3 linked regions of the Rhinolophus ferrumequinum genome follow. The protein of the gene in region 1 binds, or shares a complex with, the protein of each later gene. Links are inferred from orthologs where the notes say so. Each region holds a gene or a part of one and is shown on either strand. Other genes may lie near its edges.

Evidence for each region.
Region 2: PARD3 (region 1) and PRKCZ share a complex: the UniProt entries of both Homo sapiens proteins name them as parts of the par polarity complex. The link is inferred for Rhinolophus ferrumequinum from reciprocal best matches to the Homo sapiens genes PARD3 and PRKCZ.
Region 3: the proteins of PARD3 (region 1) and CDH5 are in contact, whole or in part, in an NMR structure (PDB 2KOH), measured with the Mus musculus proteins. The link is inferred for Rhinolophus ferrumequinum from reciprocal best matches to the Homo sapiens genes PARD3 and CDH5. Residues at the interface, in NP_296369.2 of Mus musculus: Ala599, Gly600, Leu601, Gly602, Val603, Ser604, Val605, Lys606, Gly607, Arg609, Lys611, Lys622, Ile625, Asn655, Gln656, Met659, Arg663, Met666; in NP_033998.2 of Mus musculus: Tyr774, Gly775, Asp777, Gln779, Glu780, Glu781, Leu782, Ile783, Ile784.

Annotation. Positions count from the first base shown.
Region 1 is NC_046288.1:5,597,335-5,607,655, reverse strand, and holds the start of PARD3 (partitioning defective 3 homolog), read left to right. Parts: upstream 1-5,982; 5' UTR 5,983-6,245; coding exon 6,246-6,365; intron 6,366-10,321. UniProt on the Homo sapiens protein: Adapter protein involved in asymmetrical cell division and cell polarization processes. Seems to play a central role in the formation of epithelial tight junctions. Targets the phosphatase PTEN to cell junctions.
Region 2 is NC_046292.1:900,748-910,124, forward strand, and holds the start of PRKCZ (protein kinase C zeta type), read left to right. Parts: upstream 1-5,150; 5' UTR 5,151-5,362; coding exon 5,363-5,433; intron 5,434-9,377. UniProt on the Homo sapiens protein: Calcium- and diacylglycerol-independent serine/threonine-protein kinase that functions in phosphatidylinositol 3-kinase (PI3K) pathway and mitogen-activated protein (MAP) kinase cascade, and is involved in NF-kappa-B activation, mitogenic signaling, cell proliferation, cell polarity, inflammatory response and maintenance of long-term potentiation (LTP).
Region 3 is NC_046298.1:16,358,620-16,368,234, forward strand, and holds the start of CDH5 (cadherin-5), read left to right. Parts: upstream 1-5,122; 5' UTR 5,123-5,171; coding exon 5,172-5,194; intron 5,195-6,960; exon of another isoform or gene 6,961-7,214; intron 7,215-8,504; coding exon 8,505-8,724; intron 8,725-9,615. UniProt on the Homo sapiens protein: Cadherins are calcium-dependent cell adhesion proteins. They preferentially interact with themselves in a homophilic manner in connecting cells; cadherins may thus contribute to the sorting of heterogeneous cell types.

The sequences.
Region 1 (10,321 bases):
AGATACTGAGCAGATGAAATTCCAAAGCATCAGAGCAAGCTTTTGAAATTGAATTCCGAGGTTAACAGAGTAATTTGACAGAGGAGGGAAGGATGATTCAGCCATTTAAAGTCAGGTACAGAGGATTAGCAGGGCGGGATGTGCACTGGCCCAGCTCACCTGAAATATTACATAGAATGGCAGGCGCCCGGGACTTGGTTGCAAAGTAGCCTCACCACCACTCCCCTCCTTTTTACATGAACAGGTCTGGCTCTGGGGGAAGAGGACTTTCCTCCTTCAGCAGGACAGGGTGGTGCGGGCCCTGCAAGATTTTGGGCTGGTCACCCAGGTAGGCCCACAGCCCTGGAGGCACTCTGGGAGGGTCCTGCAGGGTGTGTTTAATTTCACCACAGTGACTCCGGCGAAAGCGTTCCCTTTATTCATCTTCATTATTTCAGGATTTGAGAATTTCAACCCTTTTATCTTGACAGGGTCAAGAAAAAATATATTGTTCCAATTATCAATGCATTTTTTTCCTTTTCCTCTTTACTGAATGAAACTGCTTAACCACATTTGTTAAATAGTCTTTAAAAGCTGATTCATATCCCCTTGCCAGAATTTCTGTAGAACTCAGATTTGTCTGAGCATTGGTGTGAGGTTTTATGTGAATTCATTTCATCCTTTTCCTTTTAATCATCAAAGGTTAAGTATCCTCTGGGAGAGGAGAGTCTCACTTCTTAAGAAATGATTAAAATCATTTCCTTGATCTGCTCCCATTCTCACATCATTTTCTCAAAGTTCTTTAGAGTTAAAAAAAAAAAGAAGAAGAAGAAAAAGACGACTTGCAGTATTTTGTGTTCCTGGTAGAACCCTGCCCACCTTGAAAAGAAAGCAGAATGCTCTTCTACCCAGCAGAGAATCTTGATTCAGACTCTGAAATTCCAAAAACAGCAGTCATTTCACTACCTATACCTCTGGTTTCCTCAGCAACTTAGAGGGTCAGCACTCTAGGCCTCTCTAGAGAACTTGCCTCTGAACTTGGCTCCCCAAGATTCAACTGAAAGAACTGGTGTTTATAATGAAAGCGTCGCATGGAGACACCTCTCCACACTCCTGGATGCTCTGAGTACTGCTGGACCACCAGCAAGCAAGCGGCTTGGCTGCTTGTTTGACCCTCTTGCAGATTTGTCTTCAATAGAGTTAAGTTTTAACATCACCAGCTGTGCCAGCCTCCACCCTGAAAAAGATGGGCTGTCTCAGCAGGCTGGTGCCACACTTTCCTGTTGTTTCTCGGCATTGGAACAGGAGAGCAAGAATGGGGTGCACACTTTGACGACTGCAGCTAATTTGCCAGTTGAGGGCGACCTGGAATATTTTTGAAGGTGGGGACTTGAATACATATGGTCTGTTGGGGGGATAAAAGTATATCCTACCCCATCCTGTAATCACAAGCTGGTGAGTCGGGTGCCACTGGATTACATTAGCCTCGAGGGTGAAGACACAGCATTGGATGCAGGGGAACGGAGATGACCTGAGGAAGTCTGTTCTGTACAATTACTCCTGTTTTGAACCAAGTCACTCCCTGTACTTTTCATGTCTGATGACTGCTTTCAGCAAGTTGAGGGATCAGGAGGGCTCCTCCTCTTTCTTATTCTTTTCCTTTTTTTTCTCTTTCTTTCACTGGCATTACTCTTACCCATATAAATCATATGAGCTCATGCTTCATTAGAAAAAAATCACTGTTTTTAGACTTATGTTTAATGAAGCACAACAGAGAAGCTGTACTGAGCCTGAGTGTAGTTCTTATTCCCCTCAATCTTTGCAGTGTACCCCAAACACAGCTATACTATTATATGATTCATATCTATGTATGTCCAGAAGCCATCTTTCCTCCGCCCCTCCATATTCATTCACTGATGCACGTACTCATTCGTCAAACACTTACTGAGTAAATAGCATGCGTCCGGATTTGGGAGAGCAATTCTGGGGAAGTTCTGTGAACAACAGTCTCTGCCCTCAAAGAGCTCAATATATTTGTAAGTTCCTTGACGATGTATGTGGCTTCCAGCCATCAGCAATCCCATTCCCCGAAGCTCTGCTGTCCACTATGGTAGCCACTAACCACAAGTAGCCATTGAGCTCTCTTACAATTCAGTGTTTGATGAATGGGTGAATGCATGAGTGAATAAATATGGAGGGCTGATTCTGATCGAGATGTGCTGTAAGTATAAACTACACACAAAATCATGAAGAACTAGTAGGAGGAGTAAGTGTATGAAAAGTATTCATTAGTATTTTTAAAATGTTGATTACATATTGAAATGATAATATTTAGGATATAATGGTCTAAATAAAATAGATTATTAAAATTAATTTTATCTGCAGTTACTGGAAGATTTAAAGTTTACAAATGTGGTTCGCTTTAAGTTTCTCTTGGACAGCTTTACTCCAGGTGACTTACTTCTACCTTTCTCCCTCTATCTCAGAAGGAGTGAACATCTCCCGAGTGTACCCCCACTATCCCTAATATGAATCACCTATCATACTCTGTTCACATCTGAAACCTTTTCCAGACTGGGCACCTTTTGAGGGAGGAACTTACATACCCAACCTACAGTTCAGTGCTTGGTATAACACAGGCGGGCAGTAATTATTCGGTGAATACTGATGCAATTCTTTTTTCAGACTGACCTTGTGTGAGGTTAGGCATACAAGATTGTTAACATGATATTAAGTATAATATTTATGACTGAGTGAAATATCCTAGAGATAACTTTAATTTTCAAAGTATGACTGAATTTTAAAAGTTCCTGTAAGGGTAAGATGTTGAGTAATAGAATACCATTCCTACACATGTGGGGTGTGCATTTATTTCATGGAGCACCTGAATGCTGCTGGATATAGTTGAAATTATAGTCCATGTTGTCACACCTGCTCATTTGCAGATGGGCACAAAGGCCAGGTGGATCCTAATTAATCCTTGGAATGCTCTGGGGTTTCCACAGCCAATTGAATCAATCAACTGTAAAAAAGTACGGCAAGTAAGATAAGGGTCATAAGTTTTCACCTGAAATATGAAGAATTTAATAAATACATAAGAAAATATTTATGTAACATTTGTCTCTTGACTTGGATAATTTTGCTTCTCTTTGGGACTAGGTTTGCTTTTATGCTTTTATCAGGCCAGAAGCAATTTGGTTAAGCTGAATACTTTGCAGATGTGAAGGTAGTCTGGCCCCAATGTAGCTTTATGGTTAGATGTTGGGCATGTATATTAGTGCAAGTAGATTCATTATTTTTGAGGACATGTTATGAATTTGACTCAAGACACCAAAGTGTCTGTTACCTAAAATTAACACAGCATTAGTTTTCCATCAATTATTAATGTAAAGGGAATCACTATATCTAGATAAACTAGGTAGATTTATATAAAGCTTTATCTGGTTAGTTGACTAGACATTATAATTATTAATCCTATGAATCATAGTTTTGAAAAATTGTCTAAATCTTTATTAACTATTGAATAGTGGAAGGAAACGATGTGAATAAGTGGTACACTTATATTCTGATGTTGCCTTTTATGACGGCAGGCTTCCCTCCCCAGGAGTGTCATTAACATTTTGTGGGAACTTAATATTTAATGTCTTGAATTAGTTATTAGAGCTACCTTATTCTAACCTCTATATTGTCTTTTTCTTACTCACTTTTATAATTCTGTAATATTTAGCCGGTGCTTTCCACATGGAAGGCCTTCTTTAATTGCATGTGGAATCTAACTGAAGTGAACTGAGTACAGGCCTGAGAGTCAGGAGCCCTGGTGCAGTCACCGAACAGTTGTATCCCCAGGCCAGTCTTTTCTCTCAGCCTTGGCTTCTGCTCCCACTGTTCTCCCTTCCCCCAATATCATCATGCAGCTGCCCTGTCCTGACTTTGTTACCCTTCACCCACATTATGGTTACTGGACTCAACTATACCACACATTCCCATGTGGTGGCATGTACTAAATGTCTTAACACATTGTTTTATTTAATGCTCATAATTTATGAGATGGAGATCATCAACTCCACTTTTCAGGTGATAAAACTGAGGCTGGAGAAAGATTGAACACCATGTCTAAGGCATTAGTAAATGGTAGAGTCAGGATCTGAACCTAGATCCGTGTTATGTCTGATGTACTCTGGATATTCCTGAACTTGCCTTTTAATCAGAATTATTTTGAGAAAGCCCCACTTTAAACTAGTGTATTCCTTCCTCCCCAATGCATTAAAACAGAAACATCTATAATTATCAGAAACTGTTGTTGTGAATCCAAGTATTAATACAAGAAGTAAGAAGACCTCGACAAGAGTTGCTGTCACAAACTTAACTATTGGGTTGAAAGGTTGAACATTGCAGCCACATGGAAGAGGAATATGATGAGTCTTTCCCATGAATGTGTGGAAGGAAACCTGGATTTTATTTTTGGGTCTGTGTCAGCTTTCTCTGTGGTGTTGGGCTAGCGACTTCATCACTCTGTCCTTATCAATATCCTGGGGTAAGATGGGGATGATGACACATAGCACTTTCTTATTGCACTGGTTTGCTAGGACAGATGATTGACTAGATTAGAGGAAGTACAATGTTTCATATCACATATCACACTGTACCTGGGGCAGGGAAAGGTGCAACAATTCTGGAGAGCAGATGGATCACTTTGTCCTGTTTCCTTATTTTAACATGAGAGGTGGAGTGGGATGCATGTATGGTCATCAGCTCTTCCTGTTCTAAATGCTGAAGTTCTACTTGAGCTCACAGAACCTGTTAATTGCTTTCACATATTCTAGAAACAACTGGCAAAATGAATTTACTATCGTTTGGGACACACACATGGCCAACGACACTTAACTGTCATTTGCTATTCTTGAAACACAATAGCATACAATTATTAAGGAATCGCAGCTTACAGCTAAGGCAGACATGAGCATCAGTCACTTTTCTTGACTTGGTCTACATTCTTTTGAAAGGTCCTAAGTCCCAGAGGCACTTACTACGGACTCGTTTTTCTTTGGGGGTGGGGGTAGTGGTGCAGCGGACGCATGGTGGAGATGCCCTCTCACATTTATATTGGTCATAAATTTGCGTTAGGGTTGCTTGTGTTGCAGATTTTAAAGAAATAAAATGATTAGTATTGCTGATGTTTAAGTTCTACCTGTGGAAGCGGGTGGGTCACCACGAGCTCACAGGTAACTTGAAGGTAAATAGTGGCCTCAGGAGCTAGGCCGATCGAGTCAAAGCCTCACCAGCCGCTCCGTAGAGCAGACGATTAATTTTTGCTTTTAACGCTTAACAAGCTCTTCCAGGCCTTGTAGCCCAAGGAGCGAGCCAGTGCAAAACGCTGCCAGGCTGCGGGAGTGGGTTAGGAGTGTGTGTGTTTGGAGGGGGTGGGGGTGGGGGTGGGTGGGTGTCGTCCGCGGCGCAAGGCCCCGCTGGGGGAAGAACCTCCTGTCCCAGCCCTTCCTTCCCAGTCCTCTCGGGGGACTTGGTGACCACTCCTCTCCAAATATCTCGGCACCCTGAATAAACTGCTTTCTCCAGAAGCGATTCACCCGGAACCCTCAGTCCGACGAAGGGGATTAAAAGTGACAAAGAAAGAGGGGCTCCAGAGAGACTCGGGGGCAAGAAGCAGGCATCCCCGAAGAGGGCTGGTTGGGGCGAGAGCAGCCCGCAGCACGCCTGGGTCTCGAGGGGCTGGAAGGGACGAGCGCCAGGATCGAGGGTCCGCTGAGCAGAGCGCGGGCGCCCGGCAAGGGGCGGGCCGAGCAGCGGGGGTCCCGGGGGCGCGCTCCGCCCCGCGCGGGGAGCGGCGGCCTCCCGCCGCACGTGCGCGGTGTTGTGCGCCTCCGCTCCTCCCCTCTCTCCTCTCTGTCTCTCTCTCACTCTCTCTCACACTCCCTCCCTGTCTCCCTCCCCTCGCCGCCGTCCCCTCCCCCGCCGTCCGAGCGCGAGCGCCGCATCGCCGGGGCCGCCGCCGCGGAGCGCGCGAGACGCCGAACAGGTGGCCAGAGCCGCAGGCGCCGCGGCGGGAGAGGCGAGGCGAGCCCCGGGACGCGAGGGCGGCCGGGTCGGGCATGCGAGCGGAGCGGCCCCCGGGCGCCGCCTGTCCGCGCCCCTAGCCGCCCGTCCAGTCGGCTGCCCCGCCGCGCCAGCCTCTAGCCTCCGGCGGTAGTCGCTCGGCGGCCGTCTGCGAGGGGCGCGGGGCTCGGGCTGGCCCTGGCGGTGGCGGCGGCATGAAAGTGACCGTGTGCTTCGGGAGGACCCGGGTGGTCGTGCCGTGCGGCGACGGCCACATGAAAGTTTTCAGCCTCATCCAGCAAGCGGTGACTCGCTACCGGAAGGCCATCGCCAAGGTGAGGGGCTGGGGGCGCGGGGCGCTGGGTGGGGGCGGGAGAAGGAGGGGGAGGAAAGGGGGAGAGGGAAGGCGCCGGGATCAATATGGCGCTTCCTGGAAAGGGGAGGAGGGAGACGAGGGAGGCGGGGAAAGGGAAAGTGCGGCGGCCGCGGCGGCCTCGAGGCGCCCCTCGCCCGGGGCTCCTGGCCGCAAAGTTCTCCGTGCAGCAGGGCCCGCGAGCGCAGCCCCGACGACCGCGCCGGGCCCCGCGCCCCTGGGCGGGACGCCGCCCGCCTCTCCCCGGGGCTCCGGCCGCGGGGCCGGCGTGGTGACAGGCGCCCCTCGAGCTGCCCGAGGAGTGGAGCCGAACCCCGCGCGCGGCGCGGGCGCAGCCGGCCGGGACGCCTCTTATCGGCCGCAGCTGCTGCAGCGGTTGAAATCCAGCCCCAGGCCTCTCCCCGCTCCCAGGCCCGGCGGGCAAAGCTGGGAGAGGGAACTTTTTTGGTGGGAGGAGAGTTTAATTATTCCACACTCGCCGGGGAGTGGCAGCGTGTCTGCTGCTTCCACTGCCTTGGGTCCCGGCCGGGAAGGACCGCAGCGACGAGCCCTTCCTCCTTGCTTCCGCGGGCGGCCCCGTGTTTGGGGGCTGCTGGAGGGGGTCTCCCGCCCGCGGTGGGAAAGGCGGCCGGGATAGAGACGCCTGCTCCTCCAGCTCGCGAGTTTCTTGGCTGAGCACAGGATCTCGGCGATTCAGTTGCTCCTGTGCGAGACTCCTTTCAAAGTACAAGCCTGAAATCAGTTACTGAATTAAAAGTTTTCCTGCAAGGGCCTCAGCGTTTACCTATCTGGAACTAGCTCCATATGGTGCCCACGCTCCGCAGCCTGGGCCTGATTTCGGAGTTGAGTAGATTTCCCTTTTTCTTGGTGGAGTGATAACATTGTCTCCACTTAACTGCATGCCGATACAATGTGTCAGAAGTGAAAAGGCGTTTTGTTAGTTATTTTATCTGCTGTGTCTGTTTTACAACAGCCCATGCCTCCGAAATTTCTCTCAAGCACCTGAGGATATGTCCTTTGCAGTAATCTTTGGTGGAAAGCATATTCAGCTTAAAAATTTTCCATTTGTTCCTCCTGATAGTGGAGAGTCCTGGCTCCTGGGGGCATTGGTTGGGGCAGCAGGTGTGGGGGAAGAAGGCTTTGTCAGCCCAAGTGTATACAGGGCACTCAGAGTGACATCCCCCAATTTTCTCTGATATTAAGAGGGAAAAACTTTTTTACACTATTTTTTTTAGTACTTATAGAGAAAAACACATAAATATAGTGTTTTAAAGATAATCTTGGGGACATTTAGGAACCTGACACAATGATGGAAAATGTTGGCTTTAACAGCTCTAAAATGTTCCTTACAATTGGTTAAACTCTTAATGGAAAACCAAATAAAATTAGTGGAAATTTGGCACCTGTTTATCTTGCAGTGCTGTCCAGGGGGGAAATACCCTCTAAACCTACATTTAGCCTTTTAAAGGATTGTTTGTGAATGACAATTTATGTGAATATTCTAAATCAGAAATCAGTTTCTCAGGAAACCAACAAATAAGTCTGAAAGGAAAGAGAAATACAATGTTATATACTTTGCAGTATCTCTAGGTTCCTGATTGACATTTCCTTGCTCACATGCTTGAAATTTACATGTTTAAAATTAAAGTTACTTACATGATTAAACACATGCTTAAAATCTGTCATTTTTCATTATGCATACAATGAACATTGGTTTAATAGCCTGTTTGGGAGACACAAATGTGGTTGTTTGATTGAGTCATTTGTTTGGTCCACAGAAATTATTAAACATTTACTATGTCCAAGGCATTGTTCTGGTTGCTGGATATCTAGGGGACCCACTGGCTGGCTGCTTTCTGGAAATTGGATGTAAGAGTCTAGGACAAGGGGCTCCACGGCCAGCCCTTCAAGTGAAAGAGGCCAGTGGTGTGGGCTGGCGTGTTGTTCAGTGGGGAGAAGAGGATAGATACCTCCTGGATGTTGGGTAGATGGAGTTGAGAGGCCTCCGTGATAGATTAGGACCTTTTTAAAAAATATTAGTGGTGGTTGTTTCACAGTGCCCTGTGAGCACAGAAAAGGAAGTGCAGTTTTCTTGAGTGAGTCTGGGAAGCACTCCAAAGAGAAGGGGCATATGAATTGAGTTTTGAAGGAAAATACTGGGGATGCCAAAAAAATGTATACAAGTGGACGCTTTGGTCAACATTGCTCAAGCAGTAATTCTGTCTCCAGAAGTGTCTGGACGCTGATGATAACCACTTTGAGCACCTCTTGTAATTGCAGAAGTCAAATGTGACTTGTAGTCATCTTTTGTTATCGGCATATATTGAGTATTACAATTTTAATAGATTTTTCCCTTTCTTAAAATGTGCATACATTTTTTGGCACCCTTTTTATGATATTACCAGGTTGGGAAGGAAGGAAGGAAAGAAGGAAGGAAGATAGATTTTCAGGGTGGTGGTAGCATTGGAATTGGATAAAGTGAGAGGGAGAAGTCAGCTGATGCAGGGGTTTGCAAAATTATTTAAATGTTCTTTAAGTGCAGCTTGTTCAGCTGCACTGAATTTTAGGATGGGCTTTGCAGCATACAAAGTTCTGTCATTGGAGCACAAGACTGTTGAACCTCAAATGTTGCAAGAACCTGAGTATCTTGTAGGTACATTTTTATTTTTTCCTTTTAAGTTATCAGGTAATGGTTACAGTTAAACTTTAGTCCTTTCCATTTCTCTTATCCCATTTCAAATGATTATGAAGCAAACATATTAACACTTGTTTTAACTTTTATTCTCTTATCTCTTCCTTACCCCCTTTTGTTTAATAGAACAAGATAAATTTTGTATGAAGAATTGGGTATCTGGGAAGCTGTAGAGTGGTGTTTAGGTTGCTAGGTGACATGTGGCATGATGAACTTCCATCTGGTGGGGGAAAATGTGGGAAGATCATGTTTATGGCTTTGTATAAAAACCAACTAAGCCAAAGGGAGACAAAAAAGGATAAGAGAAAGAAAGATCCCAAGTCACTATGGCTTTCTCTGCAGTAAGCATTTTGGGCTAATTTTTTGGCATTATATTTGAGCTGTTTTCTCTTCACGTTTAACAGATCAATTTTTCTGGACAGGGGAGTGGCATGACTTAATGCTAGAAATGTCCTCAATAAGCAAATATTTGAAGGCTTACACTTAGTTATAGCATTTTTTCTTCCTCTAGTGAAAAAAGGGTATTTCTCCTTAGGATCGCTAACAGGTGAAAATATTTTGGCTGTTATCTCTATCTACCCATCCACATCCAGACCCTTTCAGGAAGGTGCTCAGCTGCCTGCTGAGAGCCACGTTACCTGGACTTCTCTCCAGTGCTTAGAAATGGAGGAGTGATTGCCTGCGTGTGTCTCTTCGCCTCTTGCCTGTGGCCTGACTCATCCATGGTTCCTGGTGGACACAGAGTGCAGAGTGCCAGCTGCAGAGGCTTTTTAGTGTGGTGTCCTTAGTTTCTGAAGGCGTTACTAGATACTCCTTAATTCTGAGTGACTCAAGGCTGGCCATGAGTGAGGCTTGCCGTTTTTCCCCTCGAGCATCTAAATTCTGCTTAGGAGAAAGATAAGAAAACCTCTATCTTTATTTTAAAATAGGCTGCTATGTGCAAAATGTCATGCTCTGTAAAGAAATAGACTAAATTCTTGCCCTAAAGAAGCATATAATCTAGGAGACTGGACGATTATATAAAAGTATAAATAACAGTAGGTGTTAGCATTAATTGGCAGCTGGGTGGTACTGATAGTAACTGATTCTGGATTTCAGAGATGGGAGGGGTGATTATTGCAGTGGGGTGGGGGTGATGCCATTTAGTCAGGATGGTTTGCATAGGGTTTAGTGAGTGGGAAGGGTGGCCTTGATTTAGGGTAGTGCTTCCTAACTGGGTAGTGGAG
Region 2 (9,377 bases), on another chromosome or scaffold:
ACTACACACACACACACACACAGACACACACACACACACTCTCTGTATCCACTGAGGTCCACTCAGCTCACAGGCGCCCCCCAGTGGTCTTAAACAGGAACACTTATCTAAAGGGTGACGACACTGAACAGTGACCACATGCACGAGAGACAGGAATGGTTCTTGGGGAGCTGAGGGAGGCGCCCACGGAGGGGAAGTTGGAGGGTCTCCCTCCCCAGGCTGGAGCTCGGCCCAGGTGTGCGAACTCAAGGCCGCGCAGAGCCTCCCACATCCGCAGCCGCACCCCCCACTCACAGCGCAGCCCGGGAAGCAACAAGCCCCTTCCTCCGGCCTGGCTCTCCCGCGCCCTCTACTGGGAGCGTGTAGCGCTGCGCTCTCGGGAAGGAGGGATGCTCCGCCTACCAGCGGCTGGTGTGTGGGGGGCAGACAGGGGCGCTGCCCAACACCCTGCGGGCGCGGGCCACCCCCAAGTGCCAGCCGGGCTGAGCCTCCCCGTGGAGGAGCTCCACCTGTAATTACAGGTGGTAAGTGGTGAATTTGGAGCTGAGAGGCGAGAGTAACTGACACGTGGACTCACAGAAACACAGATCCACACCCAGGCCCAGAAGCCCGCAGACATGCAGACACCCCTCTCTCCCTCTCCCTCTGGACAGGACCCTGCACAGCAGCAGGGACCCACCTTTTCTGAGAGTTTTCAAGGCCACGTCACTGGCTCCCTGCCTCCCCTTTACGTGGCCCACAAGGCCCCTGGGGTCTGCCCCAGCACTTCTGCATTCTCACCTGTCCCACAGCTCCACACATCCTGCTCCCTGAGGCCACCAGGCCTTTGCGCAGGCCAGCCCTCTGCTCTCCTGCTCTCCTGCTCCACTTCACACATCCTCAGACTCCACAGCTGGCCCCCGCCAGGACCTGGTCAGACCCTGCTCTCTCTGACAGGGCTGCCATATCTGTGTGACCCAGTGACAGTGGCCTGTCCCCCGCTTGGTGTCTATGAGAGAGCAGCCTTATCTGGCTGGCTCACCCCTGCATCCCGGTACACCTTGGGGCACCCAGCCAACACCCGCCGAATGAATAAATAAGCGAGTGCAGTGAACGTTGTCGCTTGCACCAGTTTCTCAAAATCCCGCGACTTGTGACAAAGAAAGGAAACTTCTGCTGCCCATTCTGGGCTCTTCCTGTGACCTGCTGGGTCCTCGTGGTCCCCGCCGGGTCAGTCTCACACCTGCCAGGATGACCAGTGGACCCCCCTACCCCCAGGTGACAAGAGGGCACAGGGAGTGCTGGTGGCTTCCACAGGCGTGTCCCCTGCCCGGCTGGGTCTGTCCAGGGAGGAGGCGTGTCAGGACTGGAGGGTTTCTCCTCGGCCCACATCCTTCCGTGATGTGGGATTTTACAAGAAGCCCGTGCCACTTTTACAATCACTTAACAAAAACACATCTTTGAATTTTCATTTGGAAATAAGAGGTGTTGGTGATTATGAAAGTATATGAGGTCTTTGTGGAAAATCTGGGCAAACAGAAACTGCCCAGAGGTGAAAAGGACCCTCCCTCAGCCACTGGGGCCCTCCTGGGTCTGTCTGGGGTCTTGCGCTCAGGTCCAAGGGTCACCTTCCTTCTCCGCCCACATGGGTTGTCCTTGCACCCGCCTTTAAGCTGCTGATTGCAGAAGGGGAGAGGTGTAACTCTGCCCAGTGACCCCCAGAACAGGGCCCGTGGTCCTAGGAGGCCGGCCTTGTCCCAGCACTTCCAAGGGGTCTTCACCTATTCGTTCATTCATTCATTCATCCATTCATTCATTCCACTGTGTGCCAGATGCTCAGAGACATGGGGACACAATAGTGACCCCGGCTGACTGGCTCCCAACCCCCATCACTTCTGGAGGGGCAAGTGGTCTGAAAATTGGGGAACAGACACCCTCCCTGGTCACCAGAGTACAGAGCAGGTGGCAGACACAGTGACAGCACTGGGTGCCCAGGACATCACAACCTCACTCTACCCTTGAGGCCTTAACAGGGGTGGCTCAGCGCCGGTGGCCACCAGGAAACCCCCGAGGTCACCCGCCCCCAACCTTTGGAGGTGGTCTGAGGGCCTGGGCAGGTGGGGGCCTTTGTTTTGCAGAGCTAGTTGGTGGGCAGAATGCAAAAGTCCTGGCCTCCACCTGCTCTCAGGGGACCTTTTCTGGGCACCGCAGGCTACCCTCACTCCGGCCTGGGGCTCGATGTGGTCCCAGAGCCAGGCGTGGAACCTCCCCCCCAGGATGGCCTCCTGAGATAGGCACCTCCATTCCCCAAGCCCGCGGAGAACAAAGCCCTCCCACCCCAGCTCTCTTCCGAACTTCCCCTGCCAGGATTGGGGACTGCAGTGACCCAGGTACCAGCCTCCAGGAGGGAGGCTCCCACATGGCAGCTGAGGCGAGACCAGTGCCCAGGGGACACTGGATGTCAGTGGCTCCAACCCCAACAAGGCTGTCCCGGTTAGAAAGGGCTCTGGGGTTGTACTTGGGCTGTTGTGTCCACTGGGGCCTTGGCTAGGGCATATCCGAGAAATGGTGTCCCGTGGAACGGCCACCCACCAGCCCGTCCTGCCTGCTGTGGGCATCAAGCTCTGGACTCCTTCCCTGTTGGGCCACGCTTTGAGGCAGAAAATCAGAACACCCGGGGATGCTGTGGGATGTCAGATGGCCTGTGCCCATGAAGTGCAACCCGTCAGGAGTGCCCAAGGCTGTGGGGACAAGACTGCAGGCCTCGCATGGGGGTGGGGTTGGGAGGGCTGCACCCCACACATTTGCCTCCTGGGCTGCCGCTCCCATGGCAGATTCCTGCTCATCCCTCACAGGGTAAACACTCGTACCTGGTTCCCCTTCACGTCCAACTGAAAGTCATGGAGCTCTGTGCCCAGGCGGAGGGATGCAGCGGTCACCCCACAGGGGGGAGGCGGGCAAGCGGACTGATACAGGCATCAGGAATGGTCAGTAGAGACTCAAAGGAAGTGTGGGTTTTGGAGAAGTAGCTCCTGGGAGAGGGAAGAGTGGTGAAAAGGCCCCGAGGTGAGCAAGAGGCAGGAATGTGGCCAGGTGGCCAGGTGGGCTGAGCCAGTATGAGGATGGTGAGAGATGAGGGCAGAAGGAAATGGGACCCCAGTCCCTGCAGAACCTGGGGTTTTTGCCTGTGATCCATGGGGGATCATTGGGGATTTTGAACACCAGGTGGACACAGACTGACGCATGTTTTAAGGAAACTGGAAGCTTCTGCAAAAATCCCAGTGCTGAGGGTGGAGTGGGAGGTGGCCGTGGAGGTGGCAGGACGTGGCTGGAGTCTGGACCTATGTTGAGGGTGGAGGGGCCCGGATTTGCAGCTGGAGGGGAGTGGGGTGTCAGAGGCAAAGGGAACTCCAAGGTTTTTGAGTTGAGCACCTGGAAAGGAGGGGTTGGCATGACAATGAAGGAGGTGAAGGGCATGGTGGAGGGAGGTCTGCTAGGATGAGAGGTTCAGGGGAGCGGGCTGAACTTGGGATGGCATTTGGAGCCAAGGAGGAGGGGTGGGGGAGAGAGCATCCTAGGGTGAGTTCCCAGGGGATCATCAAGGGTCAATTAAGAAAAAGTCTGAGGAGTGACACAGGAGTCCCGGTGGAGGAGGGGCTCAGCGAAAGTGGCAGGAGAAAGTGGGGATACGGACTGCAGATGGCTCCTTCCTGACAGGAATTTTGTAGTAAAGAGCAGAGAAATGAGCAGGTGGGTGGCAGGGTGTGGGGTGCAGAGGGTTTCTCTAAGAAGGGAGAATTCACAGCACCTTAAGTAGGTGAGAGATGGGCCGTCAAAGGGCTTCTCTGTGGCCATCTCTAGGAAGAACGTGAGCTCTATGACCACTTGGTTCCCCAAGGGTCCCCCCAACGCCTGGCACCCAGGAGGCGCCAGGAAGCATCTGTGGAATGAGAGAGGGTGGGAAGCCCTTAGGATTGTCCAGGTGAGGAGTGGTGAAGGCTTAGCAGAGACTGCGTCAGAGGTTGCCAGCTGGGTGGAATGTGGAAGGGGGGGGAGGCGGCCGGAGAGTAGCCAATGGAAGGACCGGTTTGGCAGGGGTGGCAGGGATGGGGGCTGCAGACCTATGAGCCTGGGATGCCCACCTGGCGCCCAGGTGAGGTCCTGCTAACAGCACACGTGGGTCTCTGTGGACGCAACGAGTAAGGGGTGGGTTCCTCAAGGAAACCCAACCCCACATTTAAGGGCGGGGGGGCTAGGCTGCAGGCCCTTAGAGAAGGCGTGAGCCGTGGATAGTGTTCAAATGCAACCGTCCAGATCAAACGCCAAGGTGGACGTTGTGGATTCAGAAATGAAGGTCATGGGCGACCCCGGCAAACGCAGTCTCCTCGTCCCAGGAGCAGAGGGAGCCGGCTAGCGAGTGTAGACAAGCCTCCCCTGCAAGGGGATCTTGGATTCCACGGTGGAGGAGGGCGGCTGGGGCCCGGACAACCATCGGGGCCTGGCCCCTCTCAGCCGTGGTCTTGGCCGGGGTCTCAAGACCTCGGTCTCCGCATCAGTAAACTGTCCGGACGCGGGGCACTGGGGATTCGGGGTCGGAGCTGCTGACCCACACTTGTCCTCCCCGGAGGCGGACCTCTCTCTGGCCGCCCCCCGCCCACGTCACCAGCGACCCCCTCCTCTCTGTACCCCAGACCAGCGCTTGCCCTGGAATCACCCGGGTCTTGTTAGTATAGATGGCTGGAGTTTCGATTCAGCGAATCTAGACCCGAAAGTTGGCATTTCCAAGTTCCCGGGGCGTTGCAGCACGGAGACCCCACGTAGGAATCGCGGGCACCGGAGCCCACTGCACCGAGGGGAACGCGCAGGGCGGCTGCTGTCGGAGTCCCCGGCCGCCGGAGCCGCCGGGGGTTGCCGGGCAGAGCCGGGCCGCGCGCGCTCCCATTGGCCGCAGGTGGACCGCGCCCCGCCCGACAGGTAGTGTCCCCGCGCCGCGCCATTGGGCCGCGGCCGCGGGGTCCCCCGGGGATTGGCCCAGGTGGCGGCCCCGCCTCGCCCTTATTGGCCGCAGGTGCCACCGCCCCCGCCCCGGGACCGTCCGCCCCACCGATTGGCCGCCGGCTGGGTCGGCCATGTTCGGACTTCCCCCCCGCGGGGCCTGACGCCGTACTCCGCGGGAGCGCGCCCCCGCCGGCCGCGCCCCCTCCCCGCCTCGCGCGCCGCCGAAGTTCTGCGGAGTTGGCGGGGCCAGTGCTTCCCGACCCCGCGCCGAGCGCTCCCTTCCGCGTTCCGCCGCCGGCCCCACCTGACGCCGGGCCCCTGGGGGCCCCGTGCCATGGCCCGAGCGTCCTGGGCGCGGCGCTGACGGCGGCCGGCGGAGCGCGCCATGCCCAGCAGGACTGGCCCCAAGATGGACGGGAGCTGCGGCCGCGTCCGGCTGAAGGCGCACTACAACGGGTGAGCCCTGGCGCCCGACAACCGCCCTGCGGGGCGGGCGCGGGAGCAACCCGCCCCGCGCAGGTCGTCGGGGGCCGTGTCGCCGCTGCAGCGGGCGGCCGACAGCCGGGGGCTCCCGGTCGCGGCGCGGGAGGGAAGGAACGGCGAGGCCCCTCCGGGCCCAGGGGCGTCCCGGGAGGTCCTGACGCGCCAGCGCCAAGGGGCGGCCGGGACGAGGTTTTCCTGGGCTCGGACTTGCGGGGGGGACTCCGCGGCGCGGGCGCGGGAGCCGGAGGCAGGCGTCGCCGAGCGCTCCACGGTCCTGGGCAGTGTTGACATTTTCCCTGGAAAGTTGGCTAGGATACTAAGGCCACAAACCTGTAAGGATTCAAGTTTTTGTCAAATTGTGAAAACTGCTGGCAGACTTTTAAAAATCGGGGTTTCCTAAATTTTCTCAATTTCCGCGGCCAGAGATCTCAGTTTAAGGAAAGTTTATGACCTATGCGAAGGCCAGGCGGTTAGTCGCCGGTGTTTGCACGAATGCCGGGCGCCTGGAAGGGCTCGGCGCGGTTCGGTTGAGACCACACCTTTCGGACACTGACCAGCCCTGCATCCGCGCACGGCGCCTTGGACTCTACCTGCCTCGCTGTGAAATGGGGCGAGTCGGCGCCTCACAGGGGTCAGTGGCCGGGAGCGCTGGACACTTGGCCGCCGAGCAGCCCTGGTGGGGACAGAGCGGGTGGCGTCCAGAGGCCGGGAGCCCGCCGCCACCCCTTGCGCGGTGTAGACAGCGCTCTAGGAAGAACTAGGCTCTTTGCTGCTGCCTTCCACCGGTGTTGGTCTCCAGGAGTCCCCAAGTCGGACCTTGCTGCTCCCAGGGTCACCACTGCCCGGTGGGGGTGGGCAGAGCGGAGCGCCGACCCCACGGGTGAACTTGGCGGTTGCAGCTGTAGTAGCATGGAGTGGGGTCTGCCCCGTGGGCACAGCGCTATGGGCACCGCCCTATGGCACCGCCCAGCGAGTCCTCAGGCTGAGCAGGGGCTTTGGGTTGTTGACCTGAGCGTTTCTTGTTTCTGATCTCGGGTCAGGCCTTTCCTGTCCCCTCGGTGCCCCTCAGCCTGGTGGAACGGTGCTGGGGGGTTGGTGGCAGAGCCCCAGGGCAGAAGGATTTCTGGGGGCCGTGCTTGCAGGCCTTTGTGAAGAGGCCCTGAGTTCTATCTTTTGGCCAGGAAGGGTGGGCTGCGATTAAAGCTGGTGGGGTGTCAGCTAGGCCCTGGCTCTGTACCCGTCCACAGGTTTGAGCTTATCCACCGGCTTGCCCGGGGTAAACTGTGGATCCACTGTGGAGCATTTGAATTGAGCAACCGGCCTTTGTGAAAATCAGAGATGGTGCTCGATGAGAAGATGCCCGCACCCAGAGCGGCCTGGGGGTGGGGTGGGAAGCAGACCCTACAGCCTTCCCCCAGGACAAGTTCCAGGAGGCACCTGTAGGCCTTGAGCTGTGGCGTGGGGGCCACAGTGGAGGCAGGTCCTGGGGAAAGTTCAGCAGACCTGGGGGAGTTCTGGGGAAGCCGCCCCGCCCACCACGTCCGCTCCCCTGGCTTTGGCCCCGGGAGAGCGATTTGGTTACCAGGAGTAATGTGACCTGTTGAGCCTGGTTTCCTCAGGCACAGGAGGCCACGCCCCACCGCTTTCCTCTTCGTTCCATTCCAGCCTCTGCTCCTTCCTCCCCTTCACCCATCCCGTCCCATCCCTCACCTCTCCCCCCTTCCCTTCCCTTCCCTCTTCCCCTCCTCCTCCTCCCGCTGCTCCAACACTCCTCTCCCTCCCGCACCCCTCTTTTCTGCCAGCTGTGCCCTCCCTAGGTTCCTTTGCAGGCCCGGCTCCTCACTTCCTCCCAGGCCTGCTTTTCCTAATGGGCTCCTGCACGGGGGCGTCACCCAGGGAGCTGGAGACGCCGCTGTCTGAGTTGGGAGACCTAGTCCTCAGAGCTCCACAGTGATGCAGGTTCCAGAAAGTGCCCGCCAAGGCCCGGGCTCTCGCACAGACCCCCCAGGTCCAGGTGAAATCCCGCCTCTGGATGAGATGCTGCTGGTCCCTCTGGGTAGGGGGTTGTTTGGGGGCAGCCCGGCCAGGGGCCAGACACATTGAAGCCGCCATTTTTAAAAAGCGGGGGAGGCTCTTCAGCTGCCCCTCTGGTCACCCTTCGCATCCCCTGAGACCTCCCAAGGCTTGAGATCAGGGTCTCCCTCCCCTCTCGCGGGGCCTTTAGAGGGTGTGTGGTCACCGGAGTCTGAGTGGGGTCTGGCAGCACCTGTGTTTTCCATGGAGTTTTCAGGGGGTTTCCGGTTGATGCTTGGGGCGTTTGGAGACCCTATTCTGCCGGGCTAAACCTCACATGGCCACTTTTCTAAGGTCAGAGAGATGACTGTGCTGGGTCTGCCCTCCCTCCAGCTCAGAACGCGAATTGTCCAGGACCTGCGCCGTGCGAAGCCCAGGCAGGGGCTGTGCTCTGTGGCCTGACACACCTGGGGTCCAGGGAGGGGCCGTTCCGGGCGGTTGGGTGCTCTCTCCTGGTCGCCGGCCCAGGGCTCTGGCTTGCTCAGAGGGGCTGCTGGATTCAGGATTGGGGTGAATCAGGGGTGGGGGTCAGGGGCCTGGTGGGGGTCAGGGGCCTGGTGCCTGTTGGGGGTGGGGCCCTCCCCGTGGTGCTGCAGTCCTGCCCAGGAGGGGAGGCGCCCAGTGGCTGCGAGAGGCTGTGATGTGTGAAGACGAGCCCAGCGCTCCGTGGTCCAGCCCGATGTCAGGCACTTCCCAAGGGTTGGGGTTCTGGGGTTTTTCAGGAGCTGCCCACGTGGCCTCTAGGCCCTGAGGCATTGGGAGGAAATACTAGCTTCCACTTGGGAGAGGTTCCTGGGGCAGGCAGAGGTCAAAGGTGAAGGGGTGGCTGACTCTGACTTCCAGAGCTCCCAGTGGCAGGAGGACTGGTGGACACTGGGTCAGGTGACAGGTGTGCCGGGCAGTGTGAGTACCAGGTCTGGTGACTCCAGGGTATGAGGTAGGCGAGGGTGGGAGCTTCGTCTCTGGAGCCCCCACTGATGAGCCATGTGGCCCCTTTATGCCTTAGCTTCCCCGTCTGCTGAGATGCTCAGGCTGTGGGAAAATGGGCTGGGTTAGCCCTGGTGGAGAGCTTGGGGTACTGGGGGCAGGTGCTGGGGGAAGGGGTGGGCAGCAGGGGCCATCTCCTGGAGCCCCCAGGGTGACTGAGGCGTGGGGCTGGGCCCTGGCTTGCTGTGCTGAGCCAAGGTGGGCGCCCTGTGGATGGAGCCCAGATCCCGGTGGCGCTGGATTTATTGCCTTGGGAACAAAGTCTGCATAGACTTGTCTCATGGAGTTCAGAAGCCAGCGGTGTCAACACCAAGCAGACCCTATACTTCCATGGCTTGTGACCTTTCAGAGCCTTTCAGATGTCTTTGTATAGGCTCTGCCCTCTCGTGTCACATTGTCAAATGTGGGTACATTTTCCCCACAGCTTCAGTGTTCCCGCGCGGATGGTGAGGATGTGATTCCTGCTCAGACTTTCCCTCTGTGGTGGGGGGACAGGACTGGCATTCATGGCGGGAGTGGGAGCAATGCCCCCTCCTTCCCTCCCTCCCTCTCCCTGGGGGGGTCGCCCCATCTCTGAAGGGCCAGCCCTCAGAGGGTGACCCTGAGCTGTATGCAGACATCCAGCTTTAGCATCTCACTTGGGATGGGAAGATAAAAGGCAATGACATTATGTGACTTCCTTTTCACACACACAAAAAAAGTGCCTGCAATTATGTTACAGCCTCACCACAGGCCCCTGAATGGTCGCCCCAGGGTTTAAAGCAGCAGCCTGGGCTGTGTCAGTCCATTCTGCGCCCGCCGCCACCCCAGGTCCCCCTCCTCCTGCAGGTCTCCTCCTTGCGTGTGACGGGCCCTGG
Region 3 (9,615 bases), on another chromosome or scaffold:
GACAAGACCAGGACTGGAGACTGAGGCAGGCTGACATGCATCAATGGGAACACCTGACCATCAAGGGCCGGGGCCTTGCGTTCATGCAGCTGGATACTGGATGAAGTGGAAACAGACCCAGAGCCTGCCTGCTCAGAGGCACGTGGGCCAGGAAGCACAGGCTGTACTGGGGGCAGGAGTCAATCAGAAGACCTCATGGGGGAGGCGCCCGGGGCTTAAAAAGAAGTAAAGCATTCACCCAGGGGACACAGCAAGGAAGGGCATTCAGGCAGCGTTGGCCGTTCACCCATTCTCATACCCATGGCAGACATCACTAATCCACCATAGTGTTCATTCCCACTGAACTTGAACTCAGCCCCTGAATCTTCAATACTGTCTTTGAGGTAGATACTTACCAATTCACTAGAGCTAGTTTGCGATTAAAAACAAATTTATGCTGGGGTCTCTGGGATCCAGGGTCATCCAGAGGAAACAGCCTGTGCAAAAAGCCTAGAGAGAGGAAGACCTGTGCATCCCAGAAACACCTACTTCTCCTCATGACTGGAAATGGCAAGGAGGTGGGGGAGAGGAGAGCCAGAGTCGTGGGCAGGGGACACGCCGTGCTGGCTCAGGAACCAGCTTCATCCTGCTGGAGGTGAGGAGCCAGGGACGGCAGTCAGCAAGGGAGCAGGGTGGTCAGCTCTCAGCAGAGTTAAGACGGGGCTGTTGGTAGAACCCTGAGGGAAGGGGATCAGGTCTGGGACCCACAGGAGCAGGTCCCTGAGCCAAACTGAGCTACGAACCAGGAGAAAGTCCCAAGGGGCCAGCTTGTAGGCTGCCCAGTCCCACCCCCAGCACACCCCATCCCCAAGGCTCCCAAGGCCTCACCCTTCATTCACACGGTGTCTGTAGTTGCCAAGGCCCAGCTGTAAATGCTGGGGTTTGAACAGACAATTGGGGAGTTCCTGACGGAGTTTGGGGATCAGGAGCTACAACCTCAGCCCTGAACTGAGGTGTGTGGGGGGATGGCATGGGAGGGCAGTGCAGAGAGCTGCTCAGGGCCACACAGGGAGCAGGGGCCCAGCTCGTCCCCTCCTACAGACACACCTCTTGCGTGCTCTGGGCCCAGCCCCTCATCCCTGACCCAGGGCCTCTGGGCCGGAGTCCAGAGCCTGCAGGAGGCTGGGCTGGAACTGAGCGTCCCGTCCACTCTCTGAAGCTTTGCTTAGGGTTGGGCTCAGCTGCCAGGTCTTGTCCCAGCTGATGGTGGGTGTGCTGGGTGGGAACAGAGGGGCCAGACCCACAGAGCAGAGACTCTTCAGGAATTGGCGTGGGCAGATGCCTGGGGACAGGGGTGTATACTTGTGAAGGCACAGTGGAGGGTGGTGTGTCTGTGTGGTGTGTCTGTAGATGTCATGCATGTATCTCTGACCTGGAGGCTTCCTCTGCCCCACCCCCAAGGGCCCTCCAGCCTTCTCAATACCCCCCCCCCAAAAGCCTGAACTTAGCCCCTAAAACCTCAGGCTTGAGCAGGGTCCTGGTCAGGTCAAGGAGCAGGGGTCGGCCCAGTGGTCAGGGGCAGGACCAGCCTAGGGGCATCTGCCAGGCTGCCCCACTGAGCAGTTCCCAGCTGGGTCCAGGCTTCCCAGAGTCGATTTAGCTACAAATGGAGCAGTTCCAGCCCCTCCCTTTGTGCCCCCTGTATCCCCCTAGACTCTCCTTTTAAAGAACACAGAGCTGAGCAGACCTCACAGCCCCTTCCAGGCTAAATCTCAAGGACACATGGGGGCCACAAAAAGAAAGAGAGCAAAGGGAGTTTTGCCTGATCCCACAGGGGGACAGAGACAGGCAGGACTCACTCCTGGAGTGAGACCCTCAGACCAATCTGGGCCGCCCCCACCCCGCCTTCTCACCGCTTCCTGCACTCCTCCATCACAGTCTGAAGGTCTATTTTTTATCAAGAGGTTATTGTCCATCTCCCCCACCGGGATGCAGCCTGTGTTTGTTCCCCAGGTGTGTTCATTCTGTGCCGGCCACATAGTTGGTGCACTATGTTTGTTGAATGACTGTGTAACCCCAGGGCCCTAGAGAGGGTTTCAGAAAAGTGATGACATGGGACTAAATCCAGGCAGAGGAGAGAGAACGGCAATACAAAGGTGGAGAGGATGTGACCAAGCCTGGCGTCTAGGTTCCGACCTCAGTGGTCCCACTCACTGTGGACACAGACCCGGATCCGGGGCGTCTCCAAGGCCCCAACCTGCCATCCAGGCGTGGGTGAGCCCAACCACTCCCCAGGTCCTCCCAGGCTCCTCTGCCCCTTGTTCTGGGCTCCATGCCCGCTCACCAGGGTCTCTGGGCCACACTCTGTCTTCTCATTGTGGGTCCCCCAGACTTTCCCAGATTGACCAAGGGCACAACCCCTTCAGGTTCGCCAGCTGGCCCACCTCATCCATGAGTCCATTTGGAGTTGCCCCCAAAAGTCTCCAACATGGCTCCAGGGACGGGCATTGTCACAATCCTAGATGACAGGGACACAGACAGGCACCTGGTCAATGCGTGCGTGGCACGCACATCTGAGCTGCCCAAAGAGCAAATCCCATCTCCCCTCGAGGCAGTTGTTGGGCAAGTTGCCAGGGCTGGCTGCTCAGCTGGGAATTTCTGAGCACAGAAATCTGACCCTCTGCACATCTGTCACACCCAAAGCCACCCAGCAGCACCTTGACCTCTGAAAACTTGGTGACAGCAACCAAGAGACGTGACTCCTATTTGTAGGGCGGTAAAGGGCTGAAATAAGTCTGACCCCGCTGTGGCTCTGACTACACCTCCAGAGATGTAGCCACGGGAAATGCTGCTGCCAGCTGTGGGTACAGCAAATCCTCTTGCCTGACTTCCTCTCCCTCTACAGCAGTTGGAGGTGAAATAATTGTTAGACAAAACCATTCCTCTTGGCCCCCATTTTGGTGGCCAAATTTCTAACACAAAAGGCAAAATAACACAAATAAAATGTAGTTTTTCAGATGGAAAAGACCCTAAGGTCCCGCTGAGATTGGATGTAGAAGGAGCGTGGGATTTAGAAAAAGATAGATCTGAGAGGTAGTGGGGAGTCCCAGGTCTAACCCTTCTGAGTTGTTTGTCTTGAGCCTCAGTTTCTTCCTCTGTGAAATGGAGCTGATAATTCCTACCTCCGGGGGATAATGTGAAAACTGAATGAGATGGTAGCTATGAAAGCCCAGCATGGAGAACAGTTTATTATTATTACTGCACATGAATGTCACCACAGAGAGGGGCACATGATGGAAAAAGCACTATGTGGGGTGAAAGGCAGCCTAAGTTCAAATCCTGGCTCCGCCTCTTGCTGTGTGGCCTACGATGACTCACTCCACCTCTCTGAGCCTCACCTGCTAAATGGGATTACTGACAACTACCTTATAGTTTGCAAGGTTTAAATGAGACAATGTGGGCCACTGAGGAGATACTCAGGAACGTCAGCCCCCATCCACCACCCACGGCCAAAAAGTGCTGTCTTGGAAGAGCCCTTGAGGGTCCGGGATGGGGGCTGGCGATGGGATTTTGTGAGCTTCGTCTCCCAAAGGTCCTCATCTCCAAGGTCCTGCCTCCTCACTAACTGCCACTGACAAGACAGCTGAGCATGCAGACCTCCCCCCGCCCCCTCCCCCCAGCAAGTGACACACTGGTGTGGTGGGGTGGCTCTGGAGGGCAGTCCCAGTTCTGTGTGCCAAGGGAGTTCTCTCCAGGGCCCACCGCAGAGCCTCTGCTGGACACAGAATGGATGTGCACATTCAGATCATACTTTATATGTGGGGCCAGACAAAGCCCCTTGAGGGGTTACTGTCCCCTGTGTGCCATGTGGCCGGAGCCTGTGACAGGTGGCCTCGGATTTATTTAAGTCCAGCATGGTTACATATTTGTTTGGCTGATGGATGCTGTCAGCCCTGGGACGTCGAGCTCATCCAAGCAGGCCCCCCCAAGAGAAAGCTGTGCTCCTCTTCACTGGGGCAGACAGGTCCTGACAGGAAACAGTATTTACTCTGGGGGCTCGGAGGGATTACTTACAGAGCCGGGAGCTCAGCTAAGGGAACAAGGGGGACACTGAGGCACGTGGACACCAGCAACAGTGGAAGCCGTTACCACCCAGAGCCAAAGGCACAGAGGAGGGAGGGTTGTTTCCAGAACCCAGTCAGGGCCAGGACCCTGGAGGGGCTTCCCGCCCACCAGGAGCTGTCAGCCACAGCAAATGGTATGAACCAGCACAAAGAGCCAAAGGGAAGAACTAATCCCGCTTTCTCCTCCCATCCTGAGAGCTCCTGCTGGAGCGCCTATTGGCCAAACACCAGAAGCCAGGGCCAGAAAGCCCAGGGGTCAGCCCCTCGACACAGAGCAGAGGTCAGGGGAGGCGTGGGAGGACTGGATCTGGCAGGAGGGGACCTGCAAATCCCTCCACCAAGTGATGGGGTGTGAAGGAACAAGAAGGGTAAGTAGAGTCCCCGAGGGAGCAGACCCAGTGGCAGTGAGAATCCACACACCTTTGGTTCCATTTTTAGCTACTGCTTATTGTCCACGTCACAAACATTTTCTAATTCAACCTGAAGACAACCCTGAGAGGTAGATGCTGGTGTTCCCACTGCACCAAGGATGAAACAGGCTCAGAGGGCTGAAGTGTCTTGTGCACAGTCGCTTAGCAACAAAGCAATGCAACGGAGGTTCTGCAAACTACAGAGGCTGCCGTCATAGCCACCACCCCGCACTGAGTGGGCCCAGAGAGCAACGATCCACGTGTGACATGTGGCTGAGCCTTGAGTAGGGGAGACATAGCTGGGGTGAGAGGGAAAGATGGTCTCCAGGAAGCAGAGGAAGCTCTGACTTGAGCCCTGCCCTGGGGCCTGGATGTCAGTCCAGTGGAGGACGTCGGGAAAGCAGGGCTGTGACGCAGGGACCAGGGACGGTCCCCAGAGGACTTGTCCTCAACTCTGAAGGACAAGTTCACCAGACAGAGAAAGAGGCAAAACCGGGGGTGCTGTCCTGGGGTCACTTCTCTTCTCCAGCTACCTGCTCTCCTTACTGTTCCACCCTCGCAGTTTGAACACCGTCCAGACACAGTGACCAGACACAGTGACCAGACGGTAACTGCAAGCTCCCCCAGACTCCAGGCGGGTCTCCAGCAGCTGCTGGCCATGACCACAGAGACCTCTCATAGGTAACTGCAACCTGACACAGTCCGCACAGAACTGTTGGTTTCCTCCCCACCAACACGCCACAGCCCCGGCTTCTGAATCTCAGGAAAGACCCTGCTGTCCCCCCACTGCTCAGGCCAGAGACTGGGAGCCCTCCCTCATTCTTTCCCATCCCTCGCCCCCACTTCCCCTTCACCAGTGAGTCCTGTTAACTGTACCCCAAAAATAGTCCCCGTGGCCATCCCCTCCTAAACCTGGGCTGGACCACCATCAACTCTCTCCTGTATGACAGTGACGGGTCACCCCTCGCCCAGCCAGCCCCCTCCCCACAGCTGACTGCACAATTAGACTGCATTAGTTGCCTACAGCTGCTGTAACAAACCTCCCCAAACACAGTGGCTTGAGACAATACAAATGTATTTATTTGTTACCTTGTAGTTCTGGAGGTCGGAAGTCTGAAACAGGTTTCAGTGAGCTAAAGTCAGGGCTGTGTTCCTTCTACAAACTCTAGGGGGGAATCCATTTCCTTGCCTTTTCTGGTTTCTAGAGGCCACCCTCATTCCTTGGCCTATGATCCTGCATCACTCCAACCACTGTTTCCATTGTCACATCTCCTTTTTCCTGATTCTGACCCTCCTTCACCTTTTAAAAACCTTTGATTACATTTTGTCTACCCACATGATCCAGGATAATCTCTCTATCTCACGATCCTTAACGTAATCATATCTGCCACGTACAGGTTCTTGGGAGGAGGATGTGGACATCTGTGTGGGTGGCACCATGCAGCCTACCACACTGACCTGGCCACCTCTTCTTGTGATCTGCCCTCCCTCATTGTTCATTTGTATCTGACCCAGGGACCTCCTTTGCTTCTTCAAACACACTAACCATTTTTCTACCTCAGGGCCTTTGCACTTGCTGGTCCTTCTGCCTAGAATTCCCTTCCTTCCCCTGGCGTTTCTAGGACTAACACTCAGATGCTGTCATCTCTATGAGAGGCCTTTCCTGGCCTCTCCATCTCAACCAGCTGCTCCCTCGGTCTCTGTTGTGTCCCCCATTGTAATTCCCTGGGACCCTCTGATCACTAGCTGATGTTTTTCCTCATTTACTTATTTTCCCGGTGTTCCCACTACAGTGTGCACTCCCTGAGGGTGGTTCTTGTCTGTCTTGCTCACTGCTGTACCCCAATGCCTAGCATGGGGCCCAGCATACAGTAGGTGCTCAATACCCATCAGGGTTCACACCCTGTCCTGCTCAGAAGCCTGAAAAGTACCTCTCTCTCTCTCTCTCTCTCTCTCTCTCTCAGGTTCACTTCTGTTTGTTTCATTTTCTCATTTTCGAGTCACTTCTCATTTGAGGGAGGAAGAAAGAACTAAGACTTGCAGTTCCTTTCTAAGCAAAAAAGGAAATGACCCACCAGGCTCGGGCCCAGCAAGGCTGGGGCAGGGGTCACGCCCGCTGCCTTCCCTAAGTCAGAACCAGCTTCCTGGCCAGGACTCCCAACCTCCCCGTGGCTTTGTTCACTCCCTGCCTCGCGCCTGGAATGGCTGCCCTTGCCACACCCACCTCAAAGGGAACTGGATCTCTCCCAAGTCTGTCGCCTCATTTGTGACTGAGGAAAGTGAGAGGCGGAGGCAGGAGGACCTTGGAGGCACATGGTACTTGTATTTTGGGGCCTGCTCTGCTCCACCCCAACCCAGGAGCCCACTTCCTCCTGGGCCAGTGGCAGGGGACACAGGATGGGAACCTCGGATGCTAAGATCAGCAGACCCAGAGAACAGGCTGGCCCAGCACAGACAGACACCCTCGGCCCTCACTGAGGCCAGCCTGGCGCCAGTGTCACAGAAGAAATGTGACTAGAGTTTGGAAACCTCCTGTGATGTGCAGAGTCCAGCCTCTCCCCTGGGCCAAAGCAGGGGACAGTCAGGGAGGGAGTGGGCCTCCTTCCAGCAGCACCCTGTGAGTCCTCGTCTCTCCAGGCAGGAGCGCTGGTCCCACTCCCACCACCTGCCTCCTTCCCTTGAACCATCCCACACGCCACAGGTCAGTGACACAGGGACCCAGCAGGGGTGGACTGAAGGGGTCAGGGCTGAGGGCACAGTGACAGCCAAGGTCAGAGCCTCCACCCACTGTGGGGCAGTGGGGAAAATCCCTCTCCCTGGAATTCAGGAGGACGCTAGGCCCCCATCGATGGGGAACCCAGATCCCAATCTGGGCTGATCCCATGTCCCGAAGGCTGCCTTGAAAGGCATGGACCTGGGCAACCACAAGGGACCCTGTGCTTAAAAGGCCCCCATGCCTGCTTTCATGTTCTTCTGTCGCTATCTTGAAATTCTTAATAACTTTTGAACATGGGACCGCACATTTAAATTTTGCAGTGGGCCCTGAAAATGATGAAGCTACTGTAAGCCCAGCCTCTCAACCCCCACACCACCCACCCCTGCTCTGTTGACAGCTCCTGAACTGATAATCTCCCATGAATTCTGGGGGTGAGGTCTGACCCTCTGGGTTAACACACTTGGGTTTCCTAAGAGCCGTCTGAAGACAGCATCAAAGCCACACTGCTACATGGGCTCCAAAGCTGGCCAAAGGACATGTTTATTTAGAGGAGCCTTGAAATCCCATGTCATAGCAGCTGCTGGGAAAAGAGAGAGCAGTAAGAAAAACCATGAACTTTTGGACCAGACAGACTTCCTTCAAATCTTGGCACGGCTGCCTACAGTCTGAGTGATCTCAGAAATGTTCCTAAACCTCTCTGTTCCTCCGCTCATCTGCAAAATGAGGGATACAATTATACCCACCTTGAGGGTGATTGGGAGGATTAAAGTGAGACAACCCATTAAGTGCTTGGAACAGTGTCAGGCACTTGATAAGTGCTCGATAAATGTTAGCCGCTGAAGTCAGACTCTTGGGATCCATTGTCAGCCCCACCACTTGCTCCAAGCTGAACTGCACCTCTCTGTGTGTGGGTTTTCTTACGTGTAAAATAAGGATAACTGGGTGCCCACCGCACAAGGTTTCGGGAGCTACCATCAGCATCACCCTCTCGTCCGGGACGCCTTCTCCGCAGCCCTCCTCTGGGCTCTCCCTTCGCCTGCACTTGCTTCCACACCAGCACATGTGACATGAAGTACAAATTGTTGCTGTGCCTGTCTTCCCCTCCCAGGCTGGGAGCTCTTTGGGGGCAGGAACAGAGTCTGGTCCTGCTAGGATCGGCAGAGGGTGAAGGACAAAGGAATGAACAGATAAGGGGGGCTCGTTTGTCCCTGGGAGCTGCTCACACCCCAGCATAGGGACCAACAGGCCCTGACGGTGTTTCCTCTCTGTCCCCAGATCTGTGCCTCTTGGGAAGATGTATGTGCTCCCGATGCTTCTGGCCGCAATGGGCACCTGCCTGTGCCTGCTGGTGGCAACTGCCACGAGTGCTCACGTTGCCCAGCTGGACACTCCCAGCATGCTACCCACCCTCCGGCGCCACAAGAGAGACTGGATTTGGAACCAGATGCACATCGATGAAGAGAGAAACGCGCCCCTGCCCCATTACGTGGGCAAGGTAAGGCTCAGGCCCAGAGCAGGCGAGGCCTCTGCAGCAGGCGGGCCGCAGTGACGGTAGTAAAGACGGTGACAGGTACTGGGGCGGTTGTAGGGGTGGGGATGATGGTTGTGAGGGGATGGTAATGGTGGTATAGATGGTGGAGGTGGTAGATGTGGCGGTGGTGGTGGTGGTGATAACGGTGACAGGAAGGGGACGTTGGCAGTGGTAGTGATAGTGATCATGGATGTGACGGTGCTGGTGCAATGGTGGTGGCAGCGATGGGGATGATGATAATGGTGGCGATGAAGGTGATGGTGAAGAGGAAGGTGGTGGCGGTGATAGTGACGGTGATGAGGAGGAAGGGGCAGTTGTTGCCGTGATGATGAGAATAGTGCTGGTGATGGTGATGGAGAAGAGGAAGGTGGTGGTCGTGGTGATCATGGTGTTAATACCGACGGACGGGAAGTTGGTGGTGGTGATCACGGCCGGGACGCTGGTGGAAGCGATATTGAAGGCTATGGCTCATTTTCTCCCAGATCTTGGTCCATGGACCAAATATCACTGGTAGAAGGGCCACGTTGGGCACAGGCTGAGGAGGCCAGCCTGACCTTGGGGTTCAGGGCTTAGGGCAAAACCAGCCAAGGCTGCCATTAAATTTTTCCATCTGAGAGGTCCAGAAAACCTAAGCAGCCTTCTACAAAATCATGCTGGTGATAAAGCTAATTGGCCAGGCCATAGTTTGCCAACCCAGGTCTATGCCTTTGAAATTCCTCAAAAAACCCTTTCTCTCAGACAATCCCTCCCTAGCTTTCCGTCACCCACATAACTCCCCAGGTTTCTAGGGTACCCACAACAGGATGCCTGCCCTCCCATGACGCCAAGCCCCACTTCCTTCCCCTCTAAACCTTG